Linked DNA regions of Macaca mulatta. The protein of the gene in region 2 interacts with the protein of the main gene of each other region in a biochemical or structural test. Links are inferred from orthologs where the notes say so. Each region holds a gene or a part of one and is shown on either strand. Other genes may lie near its edges.

Region 1 (3,562 bases), on a different chromosome or scaffold from region 2:
CAACTAAATCACATGAGCTATAAAAATCCTCCCTGGACAAGGCACAATCTGACCATGAACTGGAATGAAAATATTCATTTTCCTGTTATTCATATGGGATAGACTGCGTCTCACTGTTGCTGGTATTTCCTGGATTGACCTGATATTGTCTATGACACAAAAATCAATTTTTTAGCTTTTCTGATACTCGTGTGATTTCTACCTATCCACAACTGTAGTTTTAATTTGGTTTTCCTCACCACCAACTTACCAAATCACTGGCTATCACCTGTCTCCGATGGTGTCCATTATAATCACAAAAGTCTATGTAATCAAGATAGGAGTCCATGAAGTAGAGCAGTCTGTTGGGGTAGTCAATAGTTAAGCCGCAGGGCCAGAAGATCTTGTCCTGGACAATGACAGTGCGCATGCTGCCGTCCATGCTAGCCCGCTCGATGCGAGGGTGGTGGCCCCAGTCAGACCAGAACAATAGATGCTCACTGGGAAAGGAAACGAGTTACCAATTGGAGGGGATGTATTTAAATATTTAAAATAACTGTCATTTTAAATAATACAACATCCTGTTTATGCCCTGCTTAAAATAAATAATCTGTGGTTCAGAATATGTGCACAGAGTTTATTTCCTCTAAGCATCACAAAGTAAAACTGTCATAACACAATCACAACCCATCTGGGTATTTTTATAATATTTCATAAAACATGTAATACATAATGTCATAATGTAGTACATTATGACATTGAAACGTCTCAATGCCAATTCATGTTTGTTTATAATCCACAAATAGTTGATCTAGAAAAATCCATCTGTCCTTGTTTGTCTACCCTGTCATGTTTTTAGATAAGGAAATCAATTTATTCTTCATCATGGATTCATCATAAATTTCACTGGTGTGTAATACTTTACAATATCTAGGAAGTCAACATCACATTGAACATAACTTGCCTAATTTGCCGCCCTGCAGCAAAGAATCTAAGTTATCAAATATAAGTAAATTCAGGGAGAGAAGCCCTCAAAGATTTCCAAACACATGGGAGAATTTGTCTACCTTCCCTTTAGGACCAGTAGGCAAAAACTGCCTTCCTTATATGACTTAAAAGGGAGCTCTCATAAACTACATAAAACTGAAGCAGAAAAATCCAGCTTTTTTGCTGTATAATCATGAGTTATCAAAGTTACATCAAACTGGCCCCTCTATGGACTATTACTGCATGCAGTAATTAGAAACTTAATTTTTTTTTTTTTTTTTTTTGAGACAGAGTCTTGTTTTGTCACCCAGGCTGGAGTGCAGTGGCATGATGTCCGCTCACTGCAAGCTCCGCTCCCCCAGGTTCATGCCATTCTCCTGCCTCAGCCTCCCGAGTAGCTGGGACTATAGGCGCCCACCACTATGCCTGGCTAATTCTCTTTGTATTTTTAGTAGAGACGGGGTTTCACCATGTTTGCCAGGATGATCTCGATCTCCTGACCTAGTGATCCGCCAGCCTCAGCCTCCCAAAGTGCTGGGATTACAGGTGTGAGCCACGACGTCTGGCCAGAAACTTAATTTTTAATTATATGACATTTTGAAAACTGTATTGCCAAGCTAATAAATCAATGTGATCTAAAAAAAAAGTAAACAATCAATTGCTCCTATATACTTTATGAAGAGGATAATTCAGATGAAGGAGACAGCAATACCCAGTTGGACACCTACCATGTTTAAACAAGGGATCATTTTAAATTTTGCAGATCAGCAACATGCATATCAGCTACATCATGTTATTGTTGTTTTTCCCTCATCATAACCATGTCAAGGCAACATAATTAAAAAAAAAAATTCTTACTTCATTCTGGGATCTAATGCTAGTCCTCTTGGATTTGTTAGGTTTTTACTAATCAGCACAGTCCTGTGGCTCCCATCAATTTTGGAGACTTCAATTGTTTCCAGAGCATAGTCTGTCCAGTAAAGATTACGACCTACCCAATCTATTGCAATAGTTTCAGTCAAGATGATGCTACTGTCAAATACCTAAAGACAAAAGTGAATAAAGACTGATTTCTAGAGCATATAAATGAATGCAAACATGGATATTATATAAAAATCTAGATTAAAACATCTAACTTGTCCTATAATTACTTGTCAGGATTAGAAAATTTTGTCCTCTCATGTAGCTAACCACCAAATCAACAGTAGGGTTTTCCGAGAAAAGTATACAAGATTTTGTCCCACTGAATATTCTAAGATAACTTCATTGTTGGGTTAGTGCATAGCTTCGTTTTGGTTTCAAAAGTTTTTGCAACTAAGCAAAAGCTCTATCCATCTGCTTAGTTGGCAACATTACGAAACGTTATAGTGTTTGCATGCAAAGAATAATATCTCTGTTAATTAAGCACCAATAATTACAAAATAAAGTTGTAAGAGGCAGAGGAAATGTAACTATCAGGAGCCAAGAAACTGAAATTCTGGGAGATGGATTGAGAAATATCACTAAATTAAAGTTAACAAAAGCAACCCCTTAACTTTCCTGCATTTTCCTCTGCTCTCATCCACAAGAAAAGACTGCAAAAGGAAACTTAAAGACATTGTGAGGTCTCTGCATCACTGACCTGGAATTCAGAATCATACATCTGCCTTCAGAGGCCACCCTCCTATTGAAAACAGCCATAAATTCATAGTTATGAACATGCAAGTCTCTTAGGTGTTATGTGGCCCAGAAGGTACCATGAGAGCTACCCGGATGAGGTAGGGCCTTCTCTCACTGGTGAATAACAGCAAACAGACCCAAGACAGGGGAACTAGCCAGGCCAAAGGTCAACAGAAATGTACTTACTACTCTTCTGTCCGTTCCATTTTGAAACGCACTCCAGGTTTTACCCTGAGTTGCATCAGACCAAAAGATACGACCACTAATTGAATCAAAATCAACAGCTACAATGTAAGAACCATTCTCGACCAATGAATAGATATTGTGGACCTGGGAGGTGACACTGTCGGCAATAATTTTGTTCTGACTTGCCACAAGTAACAGCAGATTCTCAGATGCTGTTCAAGAAAAAAATGCAAAAATTTCAATGATCTGGGAGAAAACACAAAACAACTCTTTAAAACATTTGATTCAATACTTTTGGTAACAAAAAGAAGGTGTAATTCCAAACTATAGTAAGTTGGTGGGGAGGGGAGGAAGCCCCGTAAGAATGATTTTAATCACTTCATTCTTAACCTTAATAGTTAGCTGGTTTTCATGAGTCCTTAAAATAGACTATTTCCTGGGTTATATTTAAATGTTTCTAAATACTAGTCTAAAGGAGACTATGCTTACATTCTTCCTTTTACTGTATTTATTTTTGTACTTTGTTTATCTTCCTTACTATTTAATAGATTGTAGGCTTCTGGACAGCAGGAATCATGTCTTAAATATTTCTGTTTTCTGAGGCTCTCAACTATGGCAGAGTTCTAATTCTCCCAACACCCCGTCTCTTCTTTTTCTTTTCAGTAATAAAGCATGCCAAGTTTTAGCTTGGCACAGACTCTCCAGCCAGAGACATTTCTCTCCCTCCACTGAAGTTTGGATGACCACATGA
Region 2 (4,283 bases):
TGAAACATACTGTGAAACAGCTTGTGAGATGAGCTTCATCAACAATAAGTAATTTTTATTCAGATTTTATCGTTGACTACAATGAACATGATTAAACGTTTCAGATATGCCTATTCAGACCTTAAGCAAACCACTAAAAAATAAAAACTACTAAAAATCATCTTCTAAATCTGCTTTAGAAGAGACTTAATTGCCAACTCGATGGGTAGAACCGAATTCCTACTTGATAGCAGCACCGTTCCCAAGAAGATGGTCACAACATATTTGCACTTCCCACCTCGGCCTCTTTTCTCATCCCTGCGGATCCTCCCAGCGTTGCCAAATAGTTACAAAGTCAGTCCTTTCAAACCACTGCATTTTGAACTTCCTAAACCTTTAAGAGAGACTCTGTGTACGGAAAAGAACAATAGCGCTTCAAAAGACCTTTCTGCGAGTTCTTCAATACTCCATTTGAATGCTGGGGTTTCAATCAAGGACATCAGCAGACAATTTCTGATTGCTTAGAAGTTGACTTTTATACAGCTTTGATTAGGTCGCCCTTCTCAATAGGAAATCAAGAAAATATTTGATCACTTTAGGTTCCCAGAATTGTCACCAAGCCTTGTCAGGATAGGGAGTGAAAGAGACGGGGGTGGCGGGGGGCCCTACTCCTTCTGACATCTCCGAACCCCCATCTATCTTCGTGCCTGCGCAGTTCCGGTGCCATCCAGAATCACTCATCACAGAGATCACAAAAACAATGGGTGCTAATTCAAGGGGTGGGGATGGTTTATAATTTTATGGATTTCCCAAAGACCTATAATTGGCACATAAATGTACCAACGTGAACTGGATAATTAGGGGGTTCTAAAACGTAAGCCACCTTTAATTTATATGATTACTTGAAAACGTTAAGTGTTGTAAAGTGTAGTGGAATCTCCACACGGCCTTTATTCAAAACTATCAACACTGAAAGTGTATTTAACTGGCCAGCAGGAGGGGAGCAGGAAGGAGGTGGAAACGACGGCGCGGATTCTCACCCCCGGTCCCTGTTGGCTGGCTAGGAGCTGCACTGGAGCATCCAGCTCGCAGGCGGGCTCGCCCCCGTCCAGCTCCCAGGCGGAGAAAGGCGCTCTCGCTACCGCAAGCTCTACACTCGCCCCTCTTTCTAACGGAGTTAAACATAGGCGTGCGCCGACATCCAAACGCACACGCAGACACCGACCCACGCGGGCGCGCACCCCAGCCTCGCGACACACACACACCGGAGCGCACAGAAGCCCGCGCCGCGGCGCTCTCCACTCCGCCCGCCGCCGAGAGCCGAGCGGTCGCCAAACGCCCCCGGCCTCCCCACCCCCACGCCATTCCTTCAGACTCTCCCAGCCTAAGCGGAAGTGCCCCAGCAGACCCCCAACAATGAGGACTTGTGCGATGCAGTTGGGGGTTGGGGGTAGTTCACACGGAGTGAAACGTACACAGTCTGGCAGGTCTGGGAGCAGCCAAGTGGCGTCCGCCTCTCCAGGCAGCGTTCCCTTGTGCCCACTGGCCCCCATGAGGCCCACCAGCACCACCAAAAAACAAAAACAGAGAAAAAAAGCGCCTTAAAAAGTGCAGAGAAAAGATGCGCCCTCCCACCAGGGGTCACAATAATACTCCCCGGGACGCAGCCAGCGGAGGCAGAGTCCTGACTGCAGCAGTCACCCTGGTTTTGAAATTTACTTTGTACACTCACCCAGTGGCCCCTTTCAGACGCCGCGACACGACCTCCCCCCATCTCGGACTCCCTGCCTCTGGGTTCTCTCGGCGGTTGACACCCTCTTGTGTGCCTGCCTTACGAGCCGAACCACAGAGATTTAAAGTTTCCCTGGTAGGAAAAAAAAAAAAACTGAGCTCTCTGCATCCAAGTCAGAGCGTCTGGAGCAGAGAGAAGGAAGAGAGGCGGGCTGGGGAGGGGACTAACTGGGCGTGTGGGCAGGGGGGTGCTGGGGAGTGGATGGAGGGGGTCGAGCGGCAAAGAACAGAGTCCACAGAAGATCCGAAGAAAGGCAGGGGTCCGAGGAACGCGGGATCCAGTTCTCACGGTGCCCGCGAAAGGGCTGGGATTACTGGGATAGAGTCGGTTTTTCGAGAGGTCGAAGCCGAACCTAGCTACCGAGGAGTAGGGAAGTGAGAACGGGGTTCGGCCGAGTGAGGAAGAGGGTCTGGCCACCAGAGAAGCAGGGAGGGAGTTTCGGGAGCACAGGACAGCGGGAGAAGGCAGGCTCGAGGACCGACAGAGCCAAGACCGCAGGAGGAAAGAGGGCGCAGGGGGTCTTGGAGAGAGACGCGTGTCAAGGGTGGACAAGTCTGGAGACAGGATCGCGCGTGGTCAGAAGTAGGGAGACAGGGGCGCAGGGGTGGGTGGCAGGAGAGAGAAAGAGAAGTCACCCCTTTCCTCCCAGCAAGTGGAGGGAGAAGGCGAAAAACTGCTGCAGTCGCCATCCTCGCACCACCCCTAGCCAAACTGCTGAGTGGCGCGTCCCAGGAGCCCTCCTCCGCGCCGGGGGCCCCAGCGAAGCTGGCTCCCCGGCGCCGCGTCGTCGCGGGGCACCTGACGCGCTGAACTCAAGGGTTGCCGCGCGCCCCCGCCGCGCCTCACCTCGCCTAGCCCAGAGCATCCTCCTCCGCTGCCGCAGCCGCCCAGGAAGCGGCTACCCATGCCCGGCGGGCGGCGGCACTCAGGCGCGCTCTACAGCCCGGGGAAGCCCGGGCGAGCGCCGAGCTGGGTCCATCCTCCCCGGGAGCCACGGGCCCCGCGTCAGAGTAGGGGGAGGAGACCGCCACCCGCGCGGACCCGCCTCCTCCCGCGGCCCCCGCCCCGCCGGCCCCCGCACCCGCCCGGCGCCCAGCGGCGCCGCTCACCTACTAGCTCCCCGGCCGCCGCCGCCGCCTGGTAGTGCGCTCCTCGCCCCGGCCTCGCGGCTCCAGCTCCCTCCGGGGCGCTCTCTGCGCAGCCTGAGCGCGCTCCGAGAGCTTAGCCGAGCCGCGGTGGCGACGAGGAGGTGGAAGAACGAGCGAGCGAGCGAGCGGGGGCGCCGCGGCTTGCAGTCGCGCCTCTGGAGCCCCTGCGCGCTCTCTCCATCCTGGCGTGGAAGCGGGAGAGACAAGCCGAGAGCGAGGGGTCCCCGCCCCAGCCTCGCCAGCGTGAAGAGGGTAAGGGAGGGGGTTGTCACAAAGTAGCCAGTGTTTTCTCCCCCATCACCACCACTGGCCGCAGCTCCGCCTGGCCCCTCTCATTTTTCTCTAGGGTCTACCCTTTTATCCAAGCCTCGAAAACATACGCATACCCAAATATACGGAGTGCCATTATGGGCGAAACCACGAGGGGAGTCTCTGTGAGGGCATGTTGCCCCCACGCCCCTTGGCAGGAGGGGGCGCTCGCTCCCAGCCGCCAGCGCAGGCTCGGTGGCTCCTGTTTTGACTGAGGCTTCCCAGGCAAAGTTGGGCAAGTTGGGAGGGAAAAGGCTAGCATGTGTCACGTTTCCGTCCTAGGAAAGACCCGTGCCCCTGAGAGTATGCAGACCGCGGTTAACTCCGGCTTACTCCCCCCAACTCCCTTACTCGGCTCTTAGAATGACTGGGAGTAAACAATCCTCTGATCCGAAGCTGTGCGGGAGACGGCTCCAGCGAGTACGCAGTCGGTTGCTCCTTGCTTAGGGTCCTAGCTTACAAAGATCCTAGAAACACCAAGTCGCAGAAAAGATTGGGTCCTTCTGAACATTCTTCCACCCTGAGACTGGATTCAATTCCAGGAATCCCTGTTGTGTGGCATACCTGTCTCCAGAGGCCTGAACGCAGGAGGAGAGAGGAGCCTGGAGAATCAAATCAAGTCGATAATGTGTAGATTCGCACTGCACACAAACCACCCTGCTGGACCCAGGTGCAGAAAAGGAAAGCAAGAGGCAAGCAACCCTTCCTTAAAAAGTTTACCCTTACTCTTTTGGGGGCTACACTTCTGTTTTCCAGCTGTGTAATAACAAAGCTAATGCGATGGATTTGTGCTTTTCTGTTTTGGGTTTTTTTTTTTTTGTTTTTTGTTTTTTTGTTTTTTTTTTTTTTTTTTTTACCTCTTAGCTTCAGACACTCACCCACGGAAATTTAATGAAGCTTTTAGGGTTGTTACCTCCAGAGTCAATGAGCTAAAAATATTTAGCCTAATGCACTCCTTGTGGAGCCAGTAGGTCCAGGGCTGGTACATACAGAGTCATCAAGAGACCCTCCCTTTCTCTACAAAATTCACGACCCATTAAACTTACTCCGTAATA
Region 3 (4,053 bases), on a different chromosome or scaffold from region 2:
CAAAACCTTGGATTTTTAGACTTTGACCTTCAAGAATATATCATACCACAGATCTTAATCCTGACTACTCAGGCTGGAGGAAAATGTCCTAGAACCCCCAGCAATTGTGCAATCAGATATACCAACTTCTCAATAGCTTTAAGTTCCTTGCCAGAGTCTCGGTGCTCACCTGCCTTGTCCAGGAGTACCTGGAACAGCACCATGTGCCAGTGGAGAGACAGGGCGAGCGTAGAAGCTCCAGGGTAGGAAGTGAGCCCACATACCCTGGGACTTTGAACTTAAGACAGATGCCAGTTGGGATTGGTTTAGAGTCAATACCTGCCTCAGCCCAAATTTCCTCCAGTTCTGAAAGAATCTGCCTCCTTTCCTTTGAAGAATTTGTTTTTTCCATTGTTCATGGCATGTCAAATATTTCACATGTGACAAAGAGGATCCTCACCTGCCTAATACAAGGTGAATATCTGGCTTTGACTAACTCAAGTCAGTTTAGGTGCACTCCTAACATTCTATAAGGTAAAGTTAACCTCTAGTGGAAGGGACATGCAGCAAAAATGAAAGTTTTCTCTCACCTTCCTGGATAATTGTCCCTCCTGGTATACCTTAGTGTTTTGAAATGTTTCAAAAGGCATAATACAAGTCATGGCACTATACTGAGAAATCGTTTAATAAGTTAGTATTACTCATCCATTAATGATTAATGCTAGCGTTTGAAAACTCTTGTAAGCAGAGCTTTTCTAGGCTCTCAGGCTTGTTACACATCAGATTCCATGTTCACTACACATTCGTCCTCTTCAAAGAGTCCAGGCAGGGGAAGGCATTTGAGGAGCTTGTGGAGTCTCCTACTTTCCATTGAAAATAACACTTCCCGTGCTGCTCGCTTAGGAGTCCGCGGAACCATGTGATCAACCTAAACGTGATCGCACTGCCAGCCAATCGCAGAGGGCAGAAAGGCCAATCCCAGTTCACACCCTCCGGACAGTGGCAACTAAAGGGCAGGGGCATTCGGAGACGTAAAAACCCCAGGCATTGCCCGAGAGGCTCCTTGACCACAAACTTTAAAGTTCGCTCTCACTTCAGGAGCACGTGACTGCAGGCAGGCAGGGCCCCTTAAGCCACCTGGCTACTGGAGCTAGGGACTCTGGAATGGGTGTTTCGGGCTGGGGCGGCTTTCAGTCCCAATTCCCCGCAGCTGGCAAACAAGCCCCTTGGCGTCACATCTGAAGATCACTTCTGGGACGCGCTAGGATTCTGACTGAGTCCTCTTAGAAGGGCTTCCTGTCGCTTGTCCAGGAAAGTTATGAGGCCCCAAGTGGGAACGTGGCTGAAGACCAGGCAGGGCCCCCAAGCCCCTGCGGCAGACTCTAGGGACCCGACAGTAGTCACACCGCCCTTCTCAACAAGACAGGGCCACACACTCGCTCTCGCGCTGTTCCTTTGATTTATTGTTTAGAATGAAGGCTAATTACAGTCACTAGCCTAGGACTCAATTCCTCTCGAGGAAACGTCAACGGGAAGGAGGATCAGCAAACTAACCTGATTAAGTCTTCGTTCCATTCCCCCTCCCCATTCAGCTACACGAGAGACCCGAGAGGTTTCCAAATGCCGCCCGAGGCGTGGAAAAGGGAGGGGAGAAGCACCCAGAGGACAGTCCTGCGTAAAGCCCGCTCCTCCCCTACCCCGCACGCCGGAGAGGCGGCCCCGCGCCGGGGGAGACGCAGTCTGGGTGCGCAGACTGCGCACTGCCCGCGGCTCCGCGGAGCCTCCCGGCTGCCGCCCACCGAACGTGCGCCCGCTCACGGCCGCCGGAAGACTCCGAGCCCCGGCCCGCACCTGGCGCCCCGCGTCCCCGGAGGCCCTCACCTTCGCCCACCGTCCGCTCCCACACTCCCTGAGGTTCGAGGCGCGCGCCCCGGGCTGCCGCGCACGTCTCGGCCCTCTACCTCCTTCCTAACACTCCGCCTGGCAGAGGAGGCAGAACCATTGTTCAATGCTCAGAAGCCCACATACCTCAGCCCCTGTCAAGGGGGCGAGAAACGAGGCAAAGCAGCGGCTTTGGGGGAGGCGGTGTGAGGGATCGAAGACTAGTTCAGGCGAGGCGTCAGGACACCCCAAACCCCACTGTTCCCCAAGCCCAGCTCCCTTTAGCCGCGGCGCTGACAGCTCAGAGGCGCCACCACTGAGGGGAGGGAGAGAAGGCAAGAGAGAGCCGAGAGGCGCCTCCTAGGAGGCGGTGGGCAAACGGAGACCTGCGCCTCGGGGTCTCCCGGTGCCCCGGCTGGGTCCCGGCCGCCGGCGGAGGGGCGCGTCCTCACTCACCGGTTCCGGTGGCGCCGCTCTCCCAGGGCGCCCAGCACAGCGCGAGCAGCAGCCAGAGCGCCCAGCGCGCGGACGTGCCCATGGTGCCCGCCTGGATGGTGCCGCCGCCGCCGCCGCCGCCGCCGCCGTTCGCTCCGCACAACAAGTTACCAGCCCTTCCGAAAGGAGGAAGAAGGTGGGGGCGGGGAGGGGAAAGGGGGAGAAGGAGGGGGAAGGAGTTGGGGGGGAAGGGAGCGGGGAACAAGAGGGCACCCCCTCCCCTACAACTTGCACAATCTCCTCCCCACCAGCCAACCCACCCACCCATCCACCTCCCTGGGCTGCAGCAGCAGTGCAAGCCGAGCCTGCGGGCAGAAAATAATGCAGGCGCTGCAGAGGAGGGGAGGGAAGGGGAGGGGAAGGAAGGGAGAGGGGGTGGGGAGCCAAGAGCAGAAGAGAGGACAGAACAGAGAGGAGCCGGTAGCGGAGCACCCACACCGGCGGCGGCTGGAGCTCGGGGTGAGGAGCGGGGAGGGGGCAGGAGGGGGAGTGGTCAACGGGAGGCGCGGCGGGCGGGCGGGAGCGCGGCGGCTTCAGTCCTCCTTTCCCTCGACGCGCTCCTCTTACACGCGCCGGGCAGCTGGGTGCCCGCGCCGGGAGTGTGCGAGTGTGAGCGTGCGTGCATGAGTGACCGTGGTCGTGGCTGTGGCCGCCGCCGCCGCCGTCGCCACCCGGGCTGCTTTAGGGGCCCGGCTGCTCCGCGAGGCCGCCTGGAGCTCACGGGGGCCCGGGGCGGCCGCTGGTTGGCTCGCGCACCGCCCTCGTCTCCAATCCCCGGTGCCTGTCCTAATTTCCTGATCCAGGGAACCTGCCGCCGCAGCAGCTGTGCGCTCTCTACAGTCATTACTGTACCCTCCCGGCAGCCGCCAGCAGAACATGCAGCAGCAGCAGCAGTTAGCGCTGATGCAACTATCGTTGCTATTGCCACTGCCTCCCCACTAACGGGGCGTGCACCTGGGGGGTACTTGCAGTTTCCAGGGGCAACAATCATCTCTCTACCACCCTCTCCTGCGCCCCTGAGAGAGGATGGTAGGTAGCATCTTCTTCGGGCCTCCTCTCTCCACTCAGAAAGTGATGAAGCTGAGGGGCTCCAAACGTTTGGGGCGCTCAAATGTGGGGTTTGGGATGTCGGTCTCAATCGCACGCTGAGATGCCATTTTCCTAAAAACTAAATGTGTCTTTAAGTGAGAGAGTGTGTATGTTTGAAAGAAAGAGTGCGCGCGGTTGTGACTGCTCCTCTGTAATAGAACAAGACTAAAATAACCCAGCCTGGGATAAGGAGAAGGGAAATTGCTAGCGCAGCTTTGCGTTTGCTCATCAACGATTATAGTTAATTGCTAATTGCACAAAATGATAGTTTGAGGGCCTGTAATTAAAAGCTTAACCTTTTCTTGTTTGGAAGAGACGGGACCCATACGTTTATTCCTCTTGATATACTTTGTAACATTCAATTACAAGAATCGAGGAAAGAATAAAGGAAGCAAAGGCAAGACTCCTAGAAAGGACTGATTCTTCTTTTGTGCCTGACAGTACCTGAGTCTATAATTTGCTTTTTGTGTACTTCAGTTTTCTTGCACACTTAGCCCTGGTTGAGGTGCATTGTCTGCTGTGGTCTGCTAAGCATCTAACCAGAGTGGGAGGGCACATTGAGCGATTTCACTTTCTTAAATAAAAGGTTTTTAGGTATTTTTAAAAAGT
Region 4 (3,562 bases), about 4.1 Mb from region 2:
ATTGAAGATAAAGAGTGATGTCTTCAGTTTCACCAGGTAGGTAGCTCGTGTCATGCGTTTCTGACAGCTCTACCAAGTGTCTGACAGTTGCGTTTTTTTTTCCCCTCTGAGACTTTTGAGACACTGCGGCATTAGCGGAAAAAGCACATGCTGCCAGTGCCACTGCCCCTCAAGATTACACTGACACCTAGATGAGCTCCCTTCCTGCCTGTCCCCACCCAGCTTGTGCATGTGCAGGGAGGGCGGACTCACTGCTTTCTGGGAGTTCCAATGGGAAGTGCTTTTTTTTTTTTAAATTTTCTTTTTTGAGACGGAGTCTCGCTCTGTCACCTAGGCTGGAGTGCAGTGGTATGCTCTCAGCTACTGCCACCCTGCCTCCTGGGTTCAAGTGATTCTCCTGCCTCAGCCTCCCGAGTAGCTGTTACTACAGGCACGTGCCACCATGCTCAGCTAAATTCTTTTTCTGTATTTTTAGTAGAGGTGGAGTTTCACCCTGTTAGCCAGGATAGTCTCAATCTCCTGACCTCATGATCCACCTGCCTCGGCCTCCCGAAGTGCTGGGATTACAGGCATGAGCCACCACGCCCAGCCCTATTTTTAAATTTTACTTGAAGATTTTGATGGCAAGGAAGTGCTCCTTCATACTGAGTTTTCTCTGAGGTTTTGGAGCCAACAGTAACTTTAAGATCCATATTCTCAGGCCTACATAGCCCCAGAGACCCTACTCCTAGCATTCACAAATGGAAGAAGCTCAGAGAGATGAGGGGTGGGAGGACTCTTTCTCCTCTGCCTAGGAGAGTGGGAGCTGTAGCACAGAAGCCCAGTAAGACCTGACACCCCTGTCTCCCATAATTAATGGGGAATGTTCCTATTCCAACATGCCCTAGTTGGAGAAGCTCCCATCCCTTGCAGTAGCGGCCTTCATATTGGAGGAATCATCTGATTATGGGGGTTGGTAAAGAGGAAAGAGGATTCTCATTGGCCAGTGAGTCCCAGCAAAATTATCACAGCTGAGGAAGTGAGCCAGTGCCATCACTGGGACTTTGAAACTACTGTTCCCAGCCAGGATCTCCCTCTATACCCAGATGCTTCCTGCTTCAGACACATCAAATTCCAGACTTAGAATCTTAAAGTGCGACTACTCAGACACCTCTGGAGGAGATGGCATTTTCCCTGGGCCAGGAAAGATGGATAGGATGCAAATATAGAGGCTGGCAGAGGGGACTAGGCAGCAGTGACGGGCAAGTGCCTGGCAAGCCCTCCAGGGTGACCGCCCATATCTCAGCCCAGCCGCACAGCCCAGTAGCGACAGCCAGTCTGTCTCCCCCATTAATCATGTGTTCCCAGAGGGACGACTGTGTAGGATTCACCTCACTGTCCCTTTCAGAGCCTGGCTTCAGGCCTGGCACACAGTAGGTGCCCCTCGAATTGAAAAAGTAAGGCCTGGCCATGCTCCTCACTGGCCCAGGCCCTGCTGGCCTGCTCCCTGGGAAGGAGATAATCCTGTGTTTGAAGCTCAGTGATGTGGAACTGTCCCAGTGGCCGCTTCCATCTGTCCCTGCCGAGGCTGCTGAGAATATCTTCTCTGCCCTGTGACGTTTGTGCTCAAATCTGATATTTCAGCAACAGTCGTCCTTGACACCTCAGGAATCCGTCCCCCTCCCCCCAGCACTGCTGGCACTCTGGCTCAGGCCACCACCATTTCTCCATACAGTACCCTCCCTGGTCCCCCTGCCCTTGCTCGAAGATTGGCAGACTTGTGGGATGGATGAGCAGATGTCAGACATGGCAAAAAAGCTCATGGGCTTTGCTGTCCAGTCCTGAATCTGAATCTTGGTTTCATCACTCAGCCCTGGGTACTTTTCCTCCCTTGTCTGAGCCTCAGTTTCCTCACCTATAAAATGGGGATGATAATGGCTGCTCATGAGGTGCTTGTGAAGATGAAAGAAGACAGTGTCTCCATAGTGTCTAGCCATTACTAATGTCCTGATCATTATCCTTTCCTCTCCACCTACCAAGCCCCACGGGGAACTGGGCCCCTCCCCAGAAGTGGCTGTCACTCCCTGAGGCTGCCTGACCATGCTTGGCAGACCCTGGGGATCTGACCCCAGACTCACAGGTAACACAGCCGGCCTCATCCGCTCCACCCTCGCAGTCCTTCTCCCCGTCGCAGCGCCATGAGGCAGGTACACACTTGTGGCTGGTGGGTCCACAGCTCAGCTTCTCTGCAGGACACACCTGCTTGGCTGTGGAGACAGACGTCCATGCATAGCTTAGCCAAGGGGGACACAGGGCATGGTGCCAACCAGTCCTACCACCCTGTTCCAGCCACCTGGTCCAAGGCCCTAGGAGTCCATCAGGGCTCTCCTGGCCCATGTCTCAGTTTCATCAGCTGAGAAGAAGCCTCTGTCTGTCCCAGGAGTTTCCAAATCCTAAATCTGACCCCACCACTTCTCTACAGAACATCTTTCATGGCCCCCTGGTCCCTGGCCCTCAAGTTTCTCTTTAATCCATTGACTCCTGCCTGCCTCTCCTGGCCACACCTCCCATCCCTCCAAACCTCCACTTTAAGTTCCGGCAACATGGAGCCACCATGCCCTGCACTCGTCTCTGTCATTTCCCAGCTGTGTGCTCTTAGGTGAGATATGTCCCAGCTGGGCCTCAGTTTGCCTTCCAGATCAGTGACTCCATGATTGGAACCTGTAAATTTAGAGGGTTCACCAAGGCCCCAACGGCTCCAATCGGCCCGCCTCTAAGCCCCCTCCCCGAGTGATGGTGCTGAGCCTGCTGCTGAGAACAGCTGCTGCATAGCAGGGCCCAGCGGGACTGCATAGCTATAATTACTGCAGCCGCAATCAGAGGCTGACTCAATCAGGGGCCTGAAGCCCCAGGGTTGAATCTCAATTTGGAAGAAAGAATGAGAACCCTATTCAAGGCTGGGGACAGCTCTTATCATGAGTTTCTGCCGGACCCATGTGACAGGCTCAGCCAAGGCAGATGCATCTCAGACCTCCGTGGTTGGCTCCCTACAGCCTTCCAGAGTGTGCAGGAGGCCCGATTTCTGTGGTCTCTAGGATGTGCCAGGCATGGTGCTAGACGCTTCCATTTAATTTTCACAATAAGCCAGCAGGGTGAGAGGATTATGTGCTGGCCTCCAACATGGAGGTGGAGAACATGGGCTCTGGAATCTGGCTGCCTGGGTTCAAATCCTAGTTCACTCACTCACTGACTATGTGACCTTGGCCAACAATCCTTATCTCTGTGCCAATAAAGTGGGGATAATACTATCCCTCATAGGATTGTTATGATGACTAAGTTAATGTCTGTAAAGCAAGCACCTAGAAGAATACCCAGCCCAGTGCTTACTAAATGTTACCTATTATGATTATCCACACATAACAGATGACTCTGAATTTTGCTTATTCATGGAGTATTTGAGCACTGCTGTGTGACAAACATGGTGGTAAGCACTAAGTTCTGGTCACAGAGCTGGTAAAGAACAGCGTTAGGATTGACTGAAAGTCAGCTGTGTCTGATGCCGGAGACCTGGCACAATCCATTT

The links.
Region 1: the proteins of DAB1 (region 2) and LRP2 form a complex in vitro, tested with the Homo sapiens proteins (2 studies listed by BioGRID). The link is inferred for Macaca mulatta from reciprocal best matches to the Homo sapiens genes DAB1 and LRP2.
Region 3: the proteins of DAB1 (region 2) and VLDLR form a complex in vitro, tested with the Homo sapiens proteins (2 studies listed by BioGRID). The link is inferred for Macaca mulatta from reciprocal best matches to the Homo sapiens genes DAB1 and VLDLR.
Region 4: the proteins of DAB1 (region 2) and LRP8 form a complex in vitro, tested with the Homo sapiens proteins (2 studies listed by BioGRID). The link is inferred for Macaca mulatta from reciprocal best matches to the Homo sapiens genes DAB1 and LRP8.

What each region holds. Positions count from the first base shown.
Region 1 is NC_133417.1:74,171,802-74,175,363, forward strand, and holds part of LRP2 (low-density lipoprotein receptor-related protein 2), read right to left. Parts: intron 3,024-3,562; coding exon 2,812-3,023; intron 2,010-2,811; coding exon 1,825-2,009; intron 480-1,824; coding exon 251-479; intron 1-250. UniProt on the Homo sapiens protein: Multiligand endocytic receptor. Acts together with CUBN to mediate endocytosis of high-density lipoproteins. Mediates receptor-mediated uptake of polybasic drugs such as aprotinin, aminoglycosides and polymyxin B.
Region 2 is NC_133406.1:183,204,587-183,208,869, reverse strand, and holds the start of DAB1 (disabled homolog 1), read right to left. Parts: upstream 2,809-4,283; 5' UTR 2,618-2,808; intron 2,244-2,617; exon of another isoform or gene 1,712-2,243; intron 1-1,711. UniProt on the Homo sapiens protein: Signaling adapter of the reelin-mediated signaling pathway, which regulates the migration and differentiation of postmitotic neurons during brain development.
Region 3 is NC_133420.1:96,833,008-96,837,060, forward strand, and holds the start of VLDLR (very low-density lipoprotein receptor), read right to left. Parts: upstream 2,817-4,053; 5' UTR 2,624-2,816; coding exon 2,317-2,623; exon of another isoform or gene 2,071-2,316; coding exon of another isoform or gene 1,600-2,070; exon of another isoform or gene 646-1,599; intron 1-645. Other genes in the region: uncharacterized protein LOC106993776, read left to right, coding at 1,600-2,070. UniProt on the Homo sapiens protein: Multifunctional cell surface receptor that binds VLDL and transports it into cells by endocytosis and therefore plays an important role in energy metabolism.
Region 4 is NC_133406.1:187,326,730-187,330,291, reverse strand, and holds part of LRP8 (low-density lipoprotein receptor-related protein 8), read right to left. Parts: intron 2,247-3,562; coding exon 2,118-2,246; intron 1-2,117. UniProt on the Homo sapiens protein: Cell surface receptor for Reelin (RELN) and apolipoprotein E (apoE)-containing ligands. LRP8 participates in transmitting the extracellular Reelin signal to intracellular signaling processes, by binding to DAB1 on its cytoplasmic tail.